2 linked regions of the Cricetulus griseus genome follow. The protein of the gene in region 1 interacts with the protein of each later gene in a pairwise test. Links are inferred from orthologs where the notes say so. Each region holds a gene or a part of one and is shown on either strand. Other genes may lie near its edges.

Region 1 (9,597 bases):
GTGATTCAATAGAATTTCTTCAGAAAATTCTTTCTATAAAAGAATCCAGGGCTGGAGAGGTGGCTCAGAGGGTAAGAGCATTGGCAGCTCTTCCAGAGGTCCTGAGTTCAAGTCCCAGCAACCACATGGTGGCTCACAAACATCTGTAATGAGATCTGATTCCTCTTCTGGAGGGCTGGCAGAACACTGTATGCATAATAAATAAATCCTTAAAAAAAAAGAATCCAATCCAAAATGCTACATTATAATATTTTAGTTATAATATCTCCTTAGTTGTCTCTAATCTGGGGTTCTAATCATGCCTTCTCATAATTTATGCTTCTTAGTTATGCCCTTGAGCCCTGAAGAGCACTTGTCGGTTATTTTACATGATTTTCAATGTGGGCTTGCTTGCTGTTTTTCATGAATACACTAGAATAGTGGGTTAGGGGGAAAGAACACTGTTAGGATTAATGCTCTTGGCTGTTGAGAATGATGCAATGATAACCCTGAGCAGGCAAGGGATGCTATAAGCAGCTCTGGCTTTTATCTGAGGGGGCGTATACCCCTGAAAAGACGAATTATATATGCATAAGAATTCTGTATCTCCTACATCCCCATTAATATCTGTTGGGGTTTGTTTGCTTGTGTTTTTGATGATAGCCATTACAACTGGGGTGAGATGGAATCTCAATGTAATTCTTTTGGGATGTTTGGGTTTGGGGTGGGGTAGTGTTTGCCTGGTTTTTTGTTTGTTTGTTTCTTTGAGGCAGTTTCATATAGCACATGCTGCCCTCAAACTTACTATGTAGCCGAGGATGACCTCCTACTTCTGAACCTTCTGCCTCTGACTCCCTGTTACTAGGATTGCAGGCCTGTGTCACCATGTCCTATTTTATGCAAGGCTGGAAACTAAATCCAGGGCTTGGGGAATGTGCTAGGCAAGCACTCTAGCAAATGAGCTCCACTCGCTAACCCATCAAAGTAGCCTTCCCCAAGAGCTAAGAAGATTTTCATGTGTATTTATTGGCCATTTGTACTTTTTAATGGGAAAAGTGGTTTTCAGTTCATTTGTCCATTCATTAACTGAATCACTTGCTCTCTGGCTATTTAATTTTTGGATATTTTCTGGATAGTAATCGCTGTTGGGTATGAAAAAGACTTCCTCCTATTCTGTAGGATGTCTTACCACTCTACTGATTTTCTTTTGCTGTGCAGATTTTTTGAAGTTGAACACAATTAGGCCAAGCACATCTGATATTTTCTCTACACCTAGAAGCATTTCTCTTAAGGGGTCCTATTTTATAACTTTTCAAAAGTGAGCTTTTTATTCATATTAAAAATGGAAAGATTACACTTGTGTACATTCTTCTATATAGTACGTTCATACTTCTCCTAAGCTCGTTAGGTGATAGATTCTGAATTATGACTGATAAAAGTGCAATTTACTGTATCAGTATCAGAAATTAATAATATATTCTGCATGGAAATTTGCTCAAGGAAATAAATAAATGAAATGAACTGTTCCTGGGTTAGGTTACTCATTTATGATATTCTTGACATTTCAATATTCTCCAAAGATCAATACCAATAATACTGCTGTTGCATAGAAAGTTGACAGGTGGTTCTTTTTAAATGAAGAGAGGACACTGCTCAACTCAGGAGCAGGGTACTTTTGTCAATATAGGGAAAAAAAAAAAACGCTTCAAAAATACCAGCTAAGGGACTGGAGAGGTGGTTGCTCATCCAGAGAACCCAAATGTGGATCCCAGCACCCACTTTGGGCAGCTCACAACCACCTGTAACTCTAGCTCCAGGAGATACAAGGACCTGCTACCTTTGTGCACGCCAGCAGTTTCATGCACACACATACACAAATACACATATTTGAAAACATTTTTTTAAAGTATCAGTAGAAATCATTTGGAATGAGGCAGATGACTAAAGGGGGAACACAGTAACATGAAACTCACAACATACACTGCCATTGTTTTGAGGATGCAGAACAGTGTCCTAGACAGGTAAGGATTGAGTTGGATTCCCTCCATGAGACAGTAGCACCATATTCTGTGTTAGTTGGTTTTGTCAGGGACTTGTGATTCTAGAGTGAATCTCTATGTCAAAATAACCCAGTGTTCCTTCCCCAGAATTGTGATATGAAAGGCAGGGCAGGATTTTCTCATTTTTCTATCATGGTGGTGTAAACATAATCCCAGCACTCGGGAGAGGGCAGGAGGGACCCTGGATGCCCAAGGCCAACCTGAGCAATATGACCAGTTTCAGGACAGCCAGGGCTACACAGTAAGACCCTGTGCCAGCAAACCTAAGCAATGTTTGGTTTAAAAAGAGCCCCACCCAGCCATCTCCCTTTAGCCTTCCACATCATTCTCCAATCTCCCAGCTTGGTCGACTTCATTTGATCTTTCTCATTTTCTACCTAGATCATTTCCTGCCAATGGCTTCATTATTTTACAACCTCGAGAAAAGAGAAAAACAGAGTCATCTTTATACTCATTTGAAAGTTATGATGAGCCTGATATTTGAAACACATTTAGGGAAAACAGTGGGATCACCCAAATTATTATCTAATATAATCTATTAAGAAAAACTCACTCTTAGCCGGGTGTTGGTGGCGCACGCCTTTAATCTCAGCACTTGGGAGGTAGAGGCAGGTGGATGTCTGTGAGTTGAGACCAACCTGGTCTACAAGAGCTAGTTCCAGGACAGCCTCCAAAGCCACAGAGAAACCCTGTCTCAGAAACAAACAAACAAGAAAAACTCACTCTTATATCTTAAGGACACTTTAGGGAAAACACCGTGTAACTGCTCACTGCCAAAGCAAGCAGTTTTTAAAGAGGCACCAGTAAGGATCACAGAGTGACCAGGGCCCAAGTACAGTAACTACACACTCTCATCTTTCCCTTATTCCTAGATGTGTGTGTGCAGCCTTTGAGTTTTAATGTGACTGTTCCAGGAACTCAATAATGAAATGACTTTTTAAGACAATTCTTAAGAGTAGGTTTAATGAAAGAGAAAATAGTTCCTTGTTTTGCTGTCACTTGCCTATTTGGCCACTGGGTGCCAGAATAGATCTTCCTAGAGTTCCAAGTTCAGTCAGGAAGCCAGCACATGCCTAATTCACGCCCTCACATCCTAAAGTAAGGCCATAACACCCATCATTCCCGTCATGCCTACTATACTGACTTCGATGCCAGTGATCTTCGTATTTTCAGGAAAGACTTAATATAAAACCTACTGTGTAATATGACATACTTAGAGAAAGTAGGGAGCTTGGCTTGCTAAGTTGCCCATAGACATCTTTGCTATTGTTGTTATTGTTGTTATATCCTCAAATATCCCCTGCTACCCTCTTCCTCCTGTCCCACCTCCTGGGCATACACTGAGGACAGAGCACAAAGGTATCTAGCTCTCCACAGCCAGGAGAGTGTCCTCACCAGAAAGCAATGCTGCTGGGCCTGACCTGTGACTTTTGCACTATAGAACTGTAAGGAATTACATTGTTCTCGTCTGACCTATGTGAATGGAAGTATCTATCTTTCGTGGCAGCCCACGCTGCCTATATCATGAATAATCGTGGAAGGGGCATACCAGGCAGGCTTGGCACATGGCTGTCATGTTTCATGAAGCCTCATGGCTGTCATGTTTCATGAAGCCTAGGTACCCTCAGCAGCTGCTGCTGTTCCATGGCTGGTCTCACCTCTTCCTCTGGGGAGAGCAGCTGGCTTGACTTATGAGTAATTCATACATATTTTCAGCCCAGCCTTGTTACCTCTGGCACATGTAAGTGGATTTTCCTCTTACTTGGCCACCATCACTGCAAAGGGTACTATTTTGGTCCCTCTGACTTGCTCTTTGTTTCTTTTCCCAATTTTAGTTTCTTTTCCCAATTTTATTACAGTAGGGATATCAGGAAGGATGCTATTTGTTGAGCCCATGTAACAATATACAGCATACAATAAAAATAGCAGCCAGAGTATAACACATTTGATACCCAGAAGGCCTTTCTTTCAGTAAAGATTCTGGTTATTCATCATCATTAGAGTCTAGCTAAATCTATTAGTTTTCTAAATTCAAATGACATTTTACTTTTTACATTTCCTTTATTTATTGTGGGGAGGGTACATGGGTCATTGCACATATGTAGGGCCAAAGGAAGACTTGCAGGAGTCTATTTCTCCTTCCATTATGTGGATCCCAAGGACTGAACTAAAGCTATTTGGCTCAATGGCAAGTACTATTACCCATAGGGCCACATCACTGGCTCTGTGAGTTATTTTTAAACACCATGTAGACTAGTATTAGCAGTTTTCTTTGTAAAAATATTTCAACTACAGAATGTTCTTTAAAAGTGATTTGAACTGGGCAGTGGTTAGTTCCAGCACTGAGGAGGCAGAGGCAGGTGGATCTCTGACTTCAAGGCCAATCTGTCCTACGAAGTGAGTTCCAGATTAGCCAAAAAAAAAAAAAAGGAAGGAAGGAAGGGAGAAATGTGATTTGAAAATAAATTTTAAAAATTTGCCAGGCAGTGGTGGCACACACCTTTAATCCCAGCATTTGGAAGGCAGAGACAAGGAGATGTCTGTGATTTCTAGGCCAGCCTAGTCCCCAGAGCTAGGTCCAGAACAGCTAGGGCTATACAGAAGAACTCTGTCTCAAAAAGCAAAACAAAACAAAATTAAAAATTCAATGGATATTGATTTTAATAGAAACAGTTCAGATGTAATTGTGAGGATGTGACCATGTGTCTGCCTTTAAAGTTATTTTTAAATATTTCTCGAAAATAATCTAAAAACAATAGTCAAAAGCATGTAACTTCACCCATACAAAGTAGAATAATAATCTTCTAAGCAATCTTTTTTGAAAAAAGTTGCTTTCTAAGCATTTTATTTCCTAATGGAAGCCACACAGTAATTTAATATTCATCTCAGAATGTGCATCTGCCATGACTACTTGTTATATATATATATATATATATATATATATATATATATATATATATATGTGTGTGTGTGTGCATGCGCACGTGTGTGTGTGTGGGGGGGTAGTGTAAAATCAGTCTTGCAGAGCCTTTGCTAAGATGTTTGTTTGAGGCAGGGTGTCATTATGAGTCTTGGCTAGCCTGGGATTCATTATGTAGATCAGTCTAGCCTCAAACACACAGAGATCCTCCTGCCTCTGCTTCCCAAATGCTGGGATTCAGTTGTGCACCACCACACCCAGCAGATGTCTTTTTTTTTTACAAAGAAGAGAAAGAAGAATTTGGGAAGTTCTGGACACAGTGCTCATGCCTTTAATCCCAGCAGTGGCAGAGGCAGGAGGGTCTAAGTTCGGCAGGACTAAAAAGTCAGTTACAGCCCAGCCATCCAAGACCACACAGTGAGAACCTAGCTCCAAGAATAATAATAATAGCAATAACTTGGGAACTCCTTTGGTTAAGTGAAAAGAACACAGGTCTCAAAGGTCTTATCCTCAACCCAGCCTCAGTACAGTTAACTAGCTACATGTGTTTAAAAACCCATTGATTTCATCTTTCTCTAAATAAATACATTAACAATGGGACCATCTTACCCCATTTAGTCTGCTGGAACAGCATACAGACTTGCTTTTCACTGTGTCCACTGCAATGAAAGCTTTGTTTGTGTGTGTGTGTGTGTGTGTGTGTGTGTGTGTGTGTGTGTGTGTGTGTGTGTGTAGTCTGCTGGAACAGCATACAGACTTGCTTTTCACTGTGTCCACTGCAATGAAAGCTTTGTTTGTGTGTGTGTGTGTGTGTGTGTGTGTGTGTGTGTGTGTGTGTGTGTGTGTGTGTGTGTGTGTTATCTGTAAAGTCCAGGGGACAACTTGCAGTGTTGTTCCTCAGGAGACATCTTCCTTTAGTTTTTGAGGCATGGTCTCGTCTCTCATTGGGACCTGGCCCTTGCTGATTAGGCTAGGCTGCCTGGCCAGTGAGACCTCTGTTGTTGGGAGTACAGACCTGCACACCATGGCCACCAAAGCTGGGTCCAGAGATATCTCACTGTGCCCTGGCTTGCTATTCCTGAAAGCTTGGAATTCTAAGCCAACCTAATGGAGACTTTCAAATTCCAGGCTTTGAGAGACACGCAGATGGGCCAGACTGACAAGTTCTTCTCCTGTGTTCTATATGCATTTATTCCTTTTCTGGTTCCCTATAGTGTGAGGCTGCCACAATCAAACTCTCACTCTGCACACACCTAACACAAGGGTAAACATTAGAAGACATGCCTGGAATTTTGTTAAGATTTAAATTCTTTACCTTCGTCAACAGAATCTGAAGTGCTGCTTTTGTCCAGAGAAAGGTACTCATTTTTATTCAAGTCCAGTGATTTGGAGGGCGTTCTACTTAACCTCTTTTCTGAAACTAGTGAAAGGCTTTTTTTCAAATGTTTCTCACTCTGGGACTCTTCTTTTCCTAATCCCTAAAAGACAAACAATTCAGTTAAAAAGTAAAAACAAACAAACAAAAATAACTTATTTAAGCTTAGGTCTCACAGTAAAAACTTTAATAGTAAATATTAAGAGTAAAGACATGAAATGATGTTTTTTGAAAAATATCTAAAGCATTCTGTTAAGATTGACTGCTACCCTTGACATAGAGATAATATAGGTCCTCCCTGAGGTGTTCTCATGCAGTATGAATGACACATTTATGAAGAGAACCATGTAAAAGGGATTCAAAGAAAGGTATTAGCTTGTGAGCAGCTAAAGCAGAAGGGAAGGGAAAGGAAGGGACAGAAGGCAAAAATAAGAAACAATCAGGCCTTTGGGGTGGGTAAGGGAGAGAGGTCAAACCCTGTTTGTTTATTTATCTGGTGTCCACTTCTCACCCATCTCTCAAAATCAATAACTAAAATAGAAATGGAAAGAAAATAGAGAGATAGAAGTAAGTCACCTAGGAGTGTGGTGGGGAGAGGAGTGAGTTCATAGCAAACTGGTCCTAGAGATAAAAATATTAAAATATACCAAAATTTGACATGTATACTTTCTGGGCATATTTAATAAGGACATGTCATTATTAAATGACAGACATTAAAAAAATGACAGACATTAAATAAAAGTGTTATTGCTATGTTATAACTCAAATAGAACTAACTATAATTAGTAAGATAAGTAAAGAATCTATATTAGAAAAAAAAGAATCTATATTAGCTATACAGAAAAATTCCGTTTTGTACTGTGTGTACACCGACAAAAGACAGCACAAAACATGCATCCAGCCCTTCTCCTTTCTGCCCTAGAAGATGCTTGCCTAGTCCTGAACTCAGCTCTAGGGAGGACACAGGTTTCCACTGGCCAATGGGGAAGCTGGGTGGTAAGTGGAACCCAGGATACATCTTACTAATGAGTTACACTACCCTACCCAGAGAACTGACTCTTCAAGCAGAGCAGACTACAGCTAAAATCAAGAGGTGATGCATTTGGGAGTTCCACAGGAGAAAGCATTATGGTTACTTAGCAGACCCAGGGCCTCTCAAACAGCTGAGCAGAGCTCCACACATATATTTCTCCCATTAACTAAATTGTATTTCCTATTATAGGAATAAAGATACCTACATGAAAGGTAACAAATGTTGGCATCTGTATTGATTTTATCTCCAGATATTTTCCTGTATTTTCCAAGGAATATTAATTTTATAATGAGCATGTTTCCATTGGAAAACAGTTGTTTCTGGGTTTTTTTTTGTTATTTTCAATTTGATGACAGTAAAACATCAAACAAAGTGAAAGATGGACACCATTTGCTGACCTCTGAAATCGGAGAGTCTCACCATAATGCTCCTGGGGAAAAGACCCAGCTTCCAAAGCCGAAAACCTCTGTCCTAAACATCAGCAAGTAAGTAATCAGTCTATTGCACTCTTTTACATCCCATTCACCATGAAGAGAACAGGCAACTTATTTTTGGACATAACTAAAGGTAAGATCCAACAGACTAAGTATTCCAAGAGGAGCCACAGAAGACTGAGGAAGTGGAAAGGACTAAGACAGACTAAAGTCCTGAGAACCCACTCCTCAAAGATGGACTTTGATAAATGGGTAATGAGACTGCAACAAGTCCCCCATCTTATTACCTCCCCTAACTGAGTGTTTCACATGTAAATATTAACTTCCAGAATGACAATCCTTGTGCAGTACTAGATCCCTAAGTGTCCATGTTTATAAAACTTATACTGAACAAGTTTTATAAAAGTAGGCTGACATAGAGGTATGATGAAGGATGATTGTCTAAAACAAGTGTAGAGTTCAGGGACCTTTCACATGAATAAATTCTATGTCAGTATTTTCCCAAAGGTGTCTTAAAAAAGAACCATTACTAACTACATGCAGGCTCACTTTCAATTACAACAGCCAATGGTTTTAGGACACTCAGTGAATGCTAGGAATTGTTCTCAGTACCTTAATAGCTTTCTTTCTTTCTTCCTTCCTTCCTTTCTTTTTCTCAAGACGGGGTTTCTTTGTGTAGCCGTGGCTGTTATAGAACTAGTGCTGTAGACCACTTAGACTTATGACACTTGAAAAAACTGAAGCTCACCAGCTAACTGAAAAGCCAGTCACTAGCTGGACTGTCATTTTTAATGTGTTACCTAAGGAGTTTCTACTAAAAAGAAATGGATGTGTCCTCTGTGACCCAGCTATGCTCAAAGGCCTGTCTCTCCCTATTTGAAACAGACTGTCTCCACCACATGCATTTCCTTCACATGGGGAAATTCTGCCAACTACAGATTTCTGGGTCCTGTTATATTTTAAGAAGTATTAGTAGTGTCTTAACATGTTGCTCAGGGGCCTGCACCTTAGCTATCTTTGAAGAATACCACATTCTTTCCCCACATAACGTCTGCTACTTAGAGATACATACTCTTTTTCTAAAACAAAGCAGCAGCTGGACAGTCTAAGCTTTTCAACATTTCTAATACATTGCATTTTTTTACTTGCTCTCATGTAGGTGTGGGTTTTAGGGAACAGCAGATACTAACTCTCTTCGGTGAGTTTCCATCCAGGGACTCGGTTTCTGAAACTCGGCTAATTGACTCCTGTGTAAAGCTGATGGCCTTGGAGAACTTTTCATCTCTTTCCCCAGAGTCATCCACACTGTTTCTTTCTGGACTTCTGTAGGAAACACAGCATTAGGGAAGCAGAAGGTCACATCCAGGCACACAATCCTCGGTGCTCCTCTCTGAGGTCTTTGCAAGTCTAACAAATCATCTCAACAAACAATAGATTGTTATGCTGTAACCAGCTCCTGTTATAACAAGCTATCCTCTTAGAAACATCAGCTGACTTCATTCTTGAAAATAAAACATATACTCCTATGCAAATCCACACATTTCAGAGACGACTAAAAGTATAATGAAATACAAGTTGCCCCAGCAGTAGCCAATCGGACGCTTGTTTAAGGTCGAGGTATAAAACCACAGAGCTCTGAAAGTTTAGGAAGATGTCTGGGTCAGATGCCACTTGGCACCTGAAGTCAGTCTTACAAGTCTTGCTTCTGATGTACTCTCAGTGGAGGCCGCCAGGCCCTCTAGGAGGCACAAGCTCCTCATGTCTGAATGCAATGGTCATCAGTCAGGCTAAGGCTA
Region 2 (10,208 bases), on another chromosome or scaffold:
GGGGTCCGGGCAGGGGCGGGGCGCGCCGCGCGTTTCCGGGAGGAGCGGCCGGTCTGCGGCAGGTGCGGCGACGCGGCTCGCAGGTAGGCATTGGCTCACAGGTCCCGCGGCTGGGGTCCCAGCGCCGCACCTGCCGGGCTTCCCTACCCCCAACCCCCCGGTCCCGGTGGTCGCACCTTCGGATCGCTGTGTGGAGCGGCGACCGTACGCCTCAGTCTGGGACGGCTGTGATCCCGGGGTGCACCGCAGCTAGCCTAGACGTGTGTGGATGAAGTTTGCCTGTGGGTCCACCCGCTGCCCTTCCTCTGGACTCCCTGGAGCCTGGCTCCAGTTCAGTTTCCGGCTGGGATGGACCTCCGGTCCTGTGGAGCCCGGGAGCGGTTGATGACTGTGCCTGGGTGAAGTGAGGGTAGCCGTCAAGGGGGCAATGACTCCAGGTTGCCCTGTCATGCTGCTTCCTCGTGTTTGCTTATTGGACTATCGTCACTCTCCTCCTCGAATATGGGTAGGGGGAAGATAAACCCAAGGACTGAGAAGTGAGACAGCCAGTCTGGGTTGGTGTCACTGTGTGGCTTTGGGAAACGGGGGGGGGGGGGGAGTGGTTAGTACACTGTGGGACAGACAGGTGACTTTCATTAGAGGTGGGATATTCATTCCAGGAGGTGAGAGGGAGGCCCTGGGGGAAGAGAAAAACGACTAGAGGCTGTATTAGACCAAGATGTGGGGGTGTTTCTTACAAAAGCTGTCCAGTGCCCAGGACTGGGGCCTTCCTTGCACCTGCACCCTTAAGGCCTTATTGGCAGGTGGGAGGGGCTGATGGAGTTTACTCTCTGCTTGCCAGCTGTCAGAAGGCCAGGGTATCACAGGCTCAGTCCTGAGGCTAAGGACTTGGTCAGAAGTGATTCAGCCCTCTTCCTTAAGCAGTCTCAGCTTGGGATCTCCCAAGTCCAGGATGTGGCAGACTCTTCACACTCTGGCTCTCTTTCACTACAAAATCTCTTTCCTGGCTGCCAAGAGTTGGCCACCTGTTTTTACAAGTCTTCTGTAGTAAAGTCACACTCTCACTTTCTTCTTCATTTAATTTTTATTTGTTTTGTTTTTAGAGACAGGGTTTCTTTGTGTAACAGTCTTGGCTGTTCTGGAACTCACTTTATAGGCCATGCGGGCCTTGAACTCACAGAGATCTGCTTGTCTCTGCCCCCTGAGTGCTGGGATTGAGGCATGCCCCACTATGTCTGGTTTCACTCTCTTTTCTTTTCTTTCTTTCTTTCTTTCTTTTTTTTTTTTTTTTTTTTTTTTGAGCTAGAAGCTCACTATGTAGCTTTGCCTAACTTTGCCTCCAGAGTGCTGGGATGAAAAGTGTATGCCACCTTTTCTGGACAGCCAGAACTGTTACACAGAAACCCTGTCCCCAAAAGAAAAAAAAAAAAGTATATGCCACCATATCTAGTTAACCCCTCACTTTCTTGAACTGGCTCCATCCAGGGATTCAGGTTTTCCCCAGAATTTCTGCTTCCTGAGATGGTTGGTCCTGAATCTGCTTCATCCCATCCCAGTGGTCACAGAGCATCCCTGTCCCAATGCCTTGCTTCTGTTCACTTTCCTACCTGGTACAAGGAGGTCCCAAGCCCTCTATCTGTCTTCACCCTCTGACACACCTTCATCCCTCCTCCCATTTCTTCTGATCTTCCTTTGGCTTCTCAGCACCTACTAGAGGCAAGATTTGCTCCTATGGCCAGCCCTGGGCAGCCTGGGCCTGGGGAGGGCCAGGAGGAAGAGGAGACGAAGGGAATCTCAGCAGGGCACCGTCCAGAGGTGCTGCAGCAGGCCCAGGAGCTCTTTCTACTGTGTGACAAGGATGCTAAAGGCTTCATCACTAGGCAGGACTTGCAGGTGAGCCACAGTTCCAAGAGGCTGCCAGGCCCAAGGCCAACCTTGGCTGCTCACCTTGGTCTTTCTTGCCTGGCTAGGGCCTGCAGAGTGATCTTCCCCTAACGCCTGAGCAGCTGGAGGCTGTGTTTGAAAGTCTGGACCAGGCCCACACTGGCTTCCTCACAGCCCGGGAGTTCTGTCTTGGCCTGGGTAAGCAGGTCCCAGCCACCTGGAGACCCTATTCAGGCCCCTGTGAGACTCTATATAGCCTGTGCCTTTCACAACTACCCAGGCATTCTACAAGCAGTCACTCTGTGAGCTGCACCACCTCACCTACCCCCAGCTACTGTGCAGCATAGCTGTCTGCCCTCCCCCAATTCCTTCTCCTTTGCCAACCCAGGTGGGGCGGGGGAGCTGGCTGTCATTTCCCATTCCCAGGCCAATAGAACCAGAACAAGGAAGAAAAACAGGAAATTGGGCCCTGAGAGAGGACAGGATATATTGTGTGTGGCCGGGGGAGTTGGGTAGGTCCCATGTTAACCCACAGTCCTGGTCCCATGTCTGCAGGAAAGTTTGTGGGGGTGGAGTCGGCCCAAGGTGGGTCCTCCTTGAGGACTCCTGAGGAAACCTTTGAGTCAAGCACAGGGGGCTCTCTGGAGGAGGACGACGATGTTGAGACATTCTGCACTTCCTTAGAGAAGCTGGGAGTGGCCCGGGTCCTGGGCGAGTGAGTTGATGCTAGGCCCACTTCCTTTTCGAGCCTGATCCCTCTCCTCTGCATGTTCTGTCCACCCTGCCCTCCTGGCTGTTGCCACAGAATCCCAAGGCGGGGCCAGTCCATCCTTTGTCAGTTGTGGTTGTCTGGGAGAGTGCCCTGGCGTGATTTTCCTCAGGATTTGCATTTCAGGAGGCCATAGCTCTGTGGGGGCGGGGTGCCACCAGACACCTAGTCACTCGTGCAAGGCTAAGCAGGCATGAGAGCACACTCCAAAGAGTACGCGGCCGATGTGCTGCCAGTTCTGGGCCGCGGGATTCTCTAGCGGGTTCACCTTCCGAAAAGGGCACACACCTCCAGCATCTGCCAGCTCATCTCTATTCACACCCTCTAGGCAATGGGCTGTTAGGACACTCTGGGTCCGGCTGCAGCGCGAGCGACCCGAGCTGCTGGGCGCTCTGGAGGAAGTTTTGATGCGCGCATCGGCCTGCCTGGAGGCGGCGGCCCGGGAACGCGACGGTTTGGAGCAGGCACTGCGGCGGTGAGGACCGGCTTGGCGAGGTGTGGGGTCTCACGAGGGGACAGAGAGGAAACTGGCAAATGCTCATGCCTGTGATATCCCGGTTCCTCGAAGGCGAGAGAGTGAGCACGAGAGGGAAGTGCGCGGACTCTACGAAGAGCTGGAGCAGCAGCTGGGGGAGCAGCGACACCGCTGCCAGAGCCAGGTGGGCCCGCGTATGCCACGCCCAGCCTCTCTGGCTTCTCTGGCTCCGCCTTCCCCGAACTGGTCCCGCCCCAGAGGACTCACCTCCGGGAGTCCAAGCTGCCCCAAGTCCAGGGAACTCTGCTCTGCCTCCGCAAGTGTCCCCTCCCGCGCTCTCCACCCCTTTGCTCCCCACCCTTGCCTCTCCGCCTGCCTCCTCTGAGCCAGGAGCTAGTGCGGCTGTACATCCCAGAAACTACTGCCCCGGGAGGAACAGAGGGGCCACCTGGAGCTGGAGCTGCAGACCCGCGAGCAGGAGCTGGAGCGTGCAGGCCTGCGGCAGCGGGAGGTAAACCTTAGTTACTTTACGCCCGCATCCTCGCAGACTCATTTCTTTGAGGGTTGGTTTCCTGTGCCTCGGAGTCCTCGAGCTGCAGGAGTGAGAAGTTACCTTGGCACTGGGGGGTGAGCGGGGAGCGTGGTTCGCCTGCCAGCATCCCAACATTCCCCAGCTGGAACAGCAGCTGCAGGCCCGGACTGCAGAACAGCTAGAGGCGCAGGCCCAGCACACCCAGCTGCGTAGGGCCTATGAGGTGATAAGAGCACAGCTGGACCAGGCGCAAGAGCAGCTCAGCCGACTGGAGGGCGAAGCACAAGGTCGTCAGGAGCAAACCCAAAGGTGTGGTGAGGCGCCTGTGGACGGGGTGGAGGGTCCCTTCCCCCACCTTGCATCTGGATCACCAACCACCTTCTACCTACAGAGATGTGGTTGCTGTCTCCAGGAACATGCAGAAGGAGAAACTCAGTCTCCTAAGGCAGCTGGAGCTGCTGAGGTGGGTCAGGCCTACCTGGGCTGTGTGGAGAAGTGGTTTCAAGTTCCCGAATAGTCTTGGCTCTCACCATCTTGCCATGTAGCCTTCATGCTGCACTCTCTGCAGTCCTCCGGACTCAGGAGAGCCAGCCCATCTTCCCGATGCACTGCTTCCTCTAGATCTTTAATTAACCTCCACAGTCTCAAACTCTTCCTCTCTAGGGAGCTGAATCTGCGACTTCGAGATGAGAGAGACGCCTGTGAGACTAAGCTGCTGGGGAGTAGCCATAGGAAGGCTCTAGCGATTGCCCACAAGCCTGGACCTACCTACTGCTGCTGCTGCTGTGGCTGGGCTCGGCCCCCGAGACGAGGCTCTGGCCATCTTCCTAGTGCCCGATGACCAGCCCCAAATGACTCACCGACTCACAGGGCCTTCCTTATTTAGAAGGGGACTGGTGGTGGGTGGCGGCTGCCTGTTAGGTATGTGGCTCTAGCCAGAAAGCATCAGCTACCTGAAGGAACTAAGCTCTGAATGATCAAAGTCTTCCGTCTTCATATCTGTTTAGTAGACCAATAAAGGTCACTGGCCTCTGTGCACTCCTTGCTTTTTGTGTGTCAGAGCCACAGTACATTTGTGGTTCATGTTTGGTGTCCACGGCACGAGGTGATATGGAGAGATTCACAGGTACACACTAGCCTGTCATTCCTGTGGCTGTGAGTCCCTGTGCACTTGTGTATGTCCTGTGATTCTGGTCACTCGCCAAGCCCTCCCTCTCCGTCCATCACAGGACTCAGGTTTCAACAAGTGTCCACTACCATGCTAGCCCTCATGTGGAAAGGGAGTCCTGCCCCTCACTTCTGTGATCAGCTAGCTCTCTGGTCCCGGTCCTTACTCCCTCATCATCTGGCACCATTCCTAGACAGACCATATGCCCTCTTGCAGGGCCCTCACGTGTCTGTGGGTCTCCCGGCACTCTTCACACTTGTACCTGGAGCTTCCCCTCCAACATTTCCTCAGCCGCTAGAACCTGCAGCCTCAGAGTGGTTCCCCGGGCTTAGACTGGAGGAGGATTTGGTCTTGGTCTCAGTTCTGGGCTCTGGTGGGCTAGGTGCCACCTTCCCCACCTCTCCACTCGCCACCTGGTTCTGTCTCCAGCCTAGCTCCTCTGTCTCTGGGTGAGTGGGGGGTCTTGCTGATCACCGGAGCCCTCAAGTTAACTTTCTGGCCCCACAGACTGGGAAGGTGCCCCAGGTCTTGCAGTGCCGCGGTCTGCCACGAGCCCTAGCTCCAAACCAGTTGGGACTTGCCCAACCCAGGCCAGCCGTGGGCGGGGCTGCGCCCGGGGCGGGGTCGCGTGCGGGGCGTGTCCTCGAAGGCCCCGGGCCGAGCATTCTCTCCACTCGGAGCGCTTACTCCTACAGCCGCCTGCCGGGGTTGATACTACAAAGTGTGATTGGTAAGTGCTCCGCAGAGCCAGGCCGCAGGGTGTGAGGAGCGGTGTCCCGAATGCCTCGCGTCCCGGTGTCCCTAGTCCTCACCGCTGGCCTCGGGGACGCCCAGGAGGCAGCGCCGGTAGGACAGGGCTGTAGGCTCCTTTCCGGAAGATAGACGCCGGGGCGGGAAGAAGCAGAGGGGGGAGGGAGAAAGCCTCCGAGGTTCTTGGACAGGCCTGGAGGTCCCCTTCATGCAGAAACCGAGAAAGTCAAAGTCTGATCACCCTATTCATTGTCCCCGGACACCGGTTCCCTCCCCTGAGACCGCAGGTCCGCCCATTGGCGGGGGCGGGGAGGGGGGAGTGGGGGGACGGGCAGGGGCGATGATGACTTCATCTCGGTGACGCGGGGATTCCTTGCCTAGCCGCCTTCAGTGCCTAGTCCCTTCGGTGGGGCGGGTACCGAGCGCCATCGAGGGCACGGGAGAAGTCCAGGGGCTGAGTGTAGGGCGGCCGTGTTCAGGCCGAAAGAGCTATTTCTGGCTGATTGCGACTCCTACGCCGGCCATTTCTCAGGAAATTAACATTCAGTCTGCTGATTGTGCCTTGGCTTAGGTTGCTGGAAGTATTCAGAAGCAGCACCGCATAGGTTCTCGGCTTTTAGAGCCTGGACCCGAGGCTTGCATTGTAGTCGGGCCTCAGTTTGTGTCATGCCCCTCCTCAGTGAGGTAGCGTGTATTTGGGTCCTATTTCCAATGGAGGTCTGTAATCCCCAGGGGTGGACAGTTGATGCTCTCCTCCTCCAGTCTGCAGTCGATGCTGTTTGGTGGGGGAGGGACAGTGATGGATGGGTCTGGAGGGTGGGGCACCTGGAGAAGGCATTTGGTCCCTCCCTAGATCAAGCTGGCCAGCAATGTCCTCTGCCCCACCCTGGTCCAGAAGAAAATAGACCTGACTGTTATGCCTGCTTCCAGATCTGGTGGCTCTGGAAATCATTCTGACCACTGCTTCAGCCACCATAGGAGTGGCAAGATCCCATCTGCCAGGTGAAGGGCAGACCACTGACTTTTGACCTGTACCTGCTGGTCCTTCTGACTTATAGAGGTGAGTGCTGGTGCTTGGACGGAGCCCGCAGGTGGCAGGTGAGAAGTCCTGTACACTTGCCTGTCTAAAAACCGGTCCTGGGGTGTTCAGCTGAGGTCTGTACTGCAGACTGTCCACAGTGCAGACACTAGTGTGTTTAGGGCAGTTTGTGCCTAGGGGACTTTTGGGGGAATGGCACATCCATGTCTATGGAACTGAAGGCCTCCTTCAGCCTGGAGGGGAGCTGATTGTGTAGGCTCCACCTACTGGCACCTCTATTGTCCCTGCCCTGGATGAGAGAGAGTAGAGAGGTTACTCACAGAGCCCTCACTGTCTACCTGAGGTCTGCTTCTCTGCCACATCTGGGGTATTAATGCTAAACAGTCAGTCCCGTGATGATATAGGGTCAGGGAATGCTGTGGGGGTGGCAATCCACAGGAATACATCCTGAAGAGTCCCCACCCCTTGCCAGCAGGAGTGAGTCAGCAGATGGTTGGGGGTCCTCCATGCAATTCAATATGGGTGTCTGGCTGCTAGGAGGGGTGTTAGACCTGATCAGTTGTCCAGGAAGTGACTCATACATAGTTCCTGGGAAGGTTCCTCTTAAGGCTGATAGCTGGCTGAGATCCAAACTGCTGCATCCTCTCCTGTTCCCATTGGTTTCTAGCTTTCTTGCTAGCTGGAGGCCTTGTGCTCCCAGCCATCTGACCTCCTCCACGTTTCTGCAGGCCCAGCATGGGTGAATTCAATGAGAAGAAGGCAACATGTGGCACAGTCTGCCTCAAGTACCTGCTGTTCACCTACAACTGCTGCTTCTGGGTGAGAAGTGACTCTCCCTACATCCCTGTTCTTCCTCATCTTGGAGGCCTGGCCTGGGGGCTTGGCCCCAGCTTCCAGACCCAGGCCAGATGTGGTGACCAGTACATATTTCCTGCAGCTGGCCGGCTTGGCCGTCATGGCAGTGGGCATTTGGACATTGGTACTCAAGAGTGACTACATTAGTCTGCTGGCTTCAAACACCTATCTAGCCACAGCCTACATCTTAGTGGTGGCTGGTGGCGTTGTCATGGTGACCGGAGTCCTGGGCTGCTGTGCCACTTTCAAGGAGCGACGGAACCTGTTACGCTTGGTCAGCAGGGCCTGGTGGCACAAGTGAAGCATGGGGCTGGGGGTGACTGGCATGGGTTTCTCAGGGGCTTCTGGTACTGGTTCTGGGGCTTGATTCTGGTTAAGTATGTTACTGCAGGCTGTCCCTGTTGAACTCTCTGGGGCATCCCCCCAGCTGGACCAGCTGAGGGTATACACCAGCCCAGAGAAGTATCAGGAGTTGGGCAGCCCAAGCCTGTAGCTGCTAATTGGATTCCTCCTGCTTGGCCTCTTGGGTTGGGACTTGCTTTGTGGTGCTCTGGCACTAGGAACCCCAACTCACTGGGTCCCTGCTTCCTAGTACTTCATCCTGCTCCTCATCATCTTCCTCCTGGAGATCATTGCTGGCATCCTGGCCTATGTCTACTACCAGCAGGTAAGGGCCTGAACTGGACATGGGGTACGTCTGGAACAGGTGTGCACACAGGCAGGTGGATCCCAGGGCTGCTTTGGGACTTATGGGGAGGCAGGTATGCATGGGGTTGACAGTGTCACTCATTTGCTTGCCCACTTGGTGGCTCTTCTAGTCTTGTCAGTCCCACTGGGGGTCCTGACTCTAGTTTTGCCCTTGGGGGTCTTAGACTTTGATCCTACCCACAGCTGAACACAGAGCTCAAGGAGAATCTCAAGGACACCATGACCAAGAAATACCACCAGTCAGGCCACAAGGGTGTGACTAATGCTGTAGATAAGCTACAGCAAGAGGTGGGTGTCCCCTATAACTCTCCACTTTCCCAGTATGGAGCTATATGTTGGCAGGCTGTAGGGCTCAGCCACATACCCCCTTGCAGTTCCACTGTTGTGGCAGCAACAACTCTCAAGACTGGAGAGACAGTGAATGGATCCGCTCTGGTGAGGCAGAAAACCGTGTGGTTCCTGACAGCTGCTGTAAGACTGTGGTACCTGGCTGTGGTAGGCGGGACCATGCCTCCAACATCTATAAAGTGGAGGTAGGTGGGTGCTGAGCAAAGGGCTAGACTGATTGGGTGTCTCCGGTCTGGCTACATCTTAGGGCAGCCTGGTCCAATAGGGCTGCATATGGGAGCCAGCAAGGTCCACCACTCTCTCCCCACTAGGGTGGCTGTATCAGTAAGCTGGAGACCTTCATTCAGGAGCACCTGCGGGTCATTGGGGCTGTGGGCATCGGCATCGCCTGTGTACAGGTATGGAAACAGAGGTGACTAGGTGGGAACACTGGGGTGGCTGGTGGCCCACAGCCTTTTTACACCAGCCTGGTCCCATGCAGGTCTTCGGCATGATCTTCACCTGCTGCTTATACAGAAGCCTCAAGTTGGAACACTACTGACCATGGTGCCAGGCCAGGCTGCCAGCCTTGCACTATGTCCCACCCCACTACGAAGTACTACTGAGTTAGACTGCTGACTGCCAGAGAGGTAGCTGTCCTCATGCCATCACTACAACCCCACCTCAGGGGTAGCTTCAAGTGCCTTTCACTGCATACCAAAGTACCAAGGCTTGAGGCAATGTACTTGCCCCAGGATAAGAGGGGGCAGGTATGCCAGTGTTGGGCTAGGCCTACCTGGTAGAATTGGGTTTAGATTATTTGACAAAAGTGCCTCTTGCCCACAGGCTACTTTCCTTGGGTAGCTGTGATTTGCATTAAGTGTTGGGGGAGAACATGGGTTTACCACTTGCATGGTGGGTAGAAGCAGGTGGGAAAGGCCATTCTGGGTGGTCTAGGTACCTTTCATGCCTGCTGCTGGGAACACTCAGATGTGCTTGCTCCAAAGCAATGGGGCAACCCGAGGGGAACTCCAACCCCACTCACTGTATATGCCGTCCTTTCCATCCAGGCTTCTCTTGCTCCTAACATCCTCAGCCCTGGCTCTCCCCCACTTCTGATAACACTGTGCAAATGCCCCATGTTCCTATATACTGTCTCCTTTTGGAACATCTCTGAACGGGGGTATGGCTGTTTCCATCCACTGTTGTAACCCTGATGCCCACACATGCTCCTGCTTTGTAACAGGTGCTCAATAAATATATGAACAGTTGAGTCAGTTTGCTGACAGGACCTTAGGGTCCAGGGTAGCTGGAGTACTCGTAAGAGTCAAAGATGGGGAAGCCTAGTAGCAGGGCAGCTAGGCTGACCTCTGGTAGCTGGTGAGCCTCCAGCTCACTGTGGCCTGGATTTGGCCAGGCAAAGGATTGCTCATATTCAGAATGTACCTTAAGAGCTCATTCTTGGGCTCAGCCATTAAAGGCTAGGCTCACAACCAAAAATATAAGAGCTGATTCTCTGTCCCCAGTAGTCCTATGCTGTTTAGTTTAGCTGGAGGAATGGAGTCCTAGGGGCCCCCTGACTCCAGTCTAAGGCAAAACTTTCTCCTCTTTAAAAACTAGCGTGGGTGTGTGCATGCGATTCATTTTAATCCCAGCACTCAAGAGAGGGAGGAGAAGCAGGCAGATTGCTGAGTTTCAGAC

Evidence for each region.
Region 2: the proteins of Gramd1c (region 1) and Cd151 interact in binary tests that used the Homo sapiens proteins (3 or more experiments, as listed by UniProt). The link is inferred for Cricetulus griseus from reciprocal best matches to the Homo sapiens genes GRAMD1C and CD151.

Annotation. Positions count from the first base shown.
Region 1 is NC_048597.1:46,380,595-46,390,191, reverse strand, and holds part of Gramd1c (protein Aster-C), read right to left. Parts: intron 9,125-9,597; coding exon 8,992-9,124; intron 6,438-8,991; coding exon 6,275-6,437; intron 1-6,274. UniProt on the Homo sapiens protein: Cholesterol transporter that mediates non-vesicular transport of cholesterol from the plasma membrane (PM) to the endoplasmic reticulum (ER).
Region 2 is NC_048596.1:59,713,242-59,723,449, reverse strand, and holds Cd151 (CD151 antigen), read left to right. Parts: upstream 1-5,431; 5' UTR 5,432-5,558; intron 5,559-5,992; exon of another isoform or gene 5,993-6,262; intron 6,263-6,431; 5' UTR 6,432-6,638; intron 6,639-7,284; 5' UTR 7,285-7,352; coding exon 7,353-7,436; intron 7,437-7,554; coding exon 7,555-7,746; intron 7,747-8,064; coding exon 8,065-8,139; intron 8,140-8,363; coding exon 8,364-8,468; intron 8,469-8,554; coding exon 8,555-8,713; intron 8,714-8,839; coding exon 8,840-8,926; intron 8,927-9,009; coding exon 9,010-9,069; 3' UTR 9,070-9,780; downstream 9,781-10,208. Other genes in the region: Cracr2b (EF-hand calcium-binding domain-containing protein 4A), read left to right, coding at 1,732-1,893, 1,971-2,082, 2,440-2,599, 2,982-3,128, 3,222-3,312, 3,544-3,639, 3,803-3,969, 4,052-4,123 and 1 more. UniProt on the Homo sapiens protein: Structural component of specialized membrane microdomains known as tetraspanin-enriched microdomains (TERMs), which act as platforms for receptor clustering and signaling.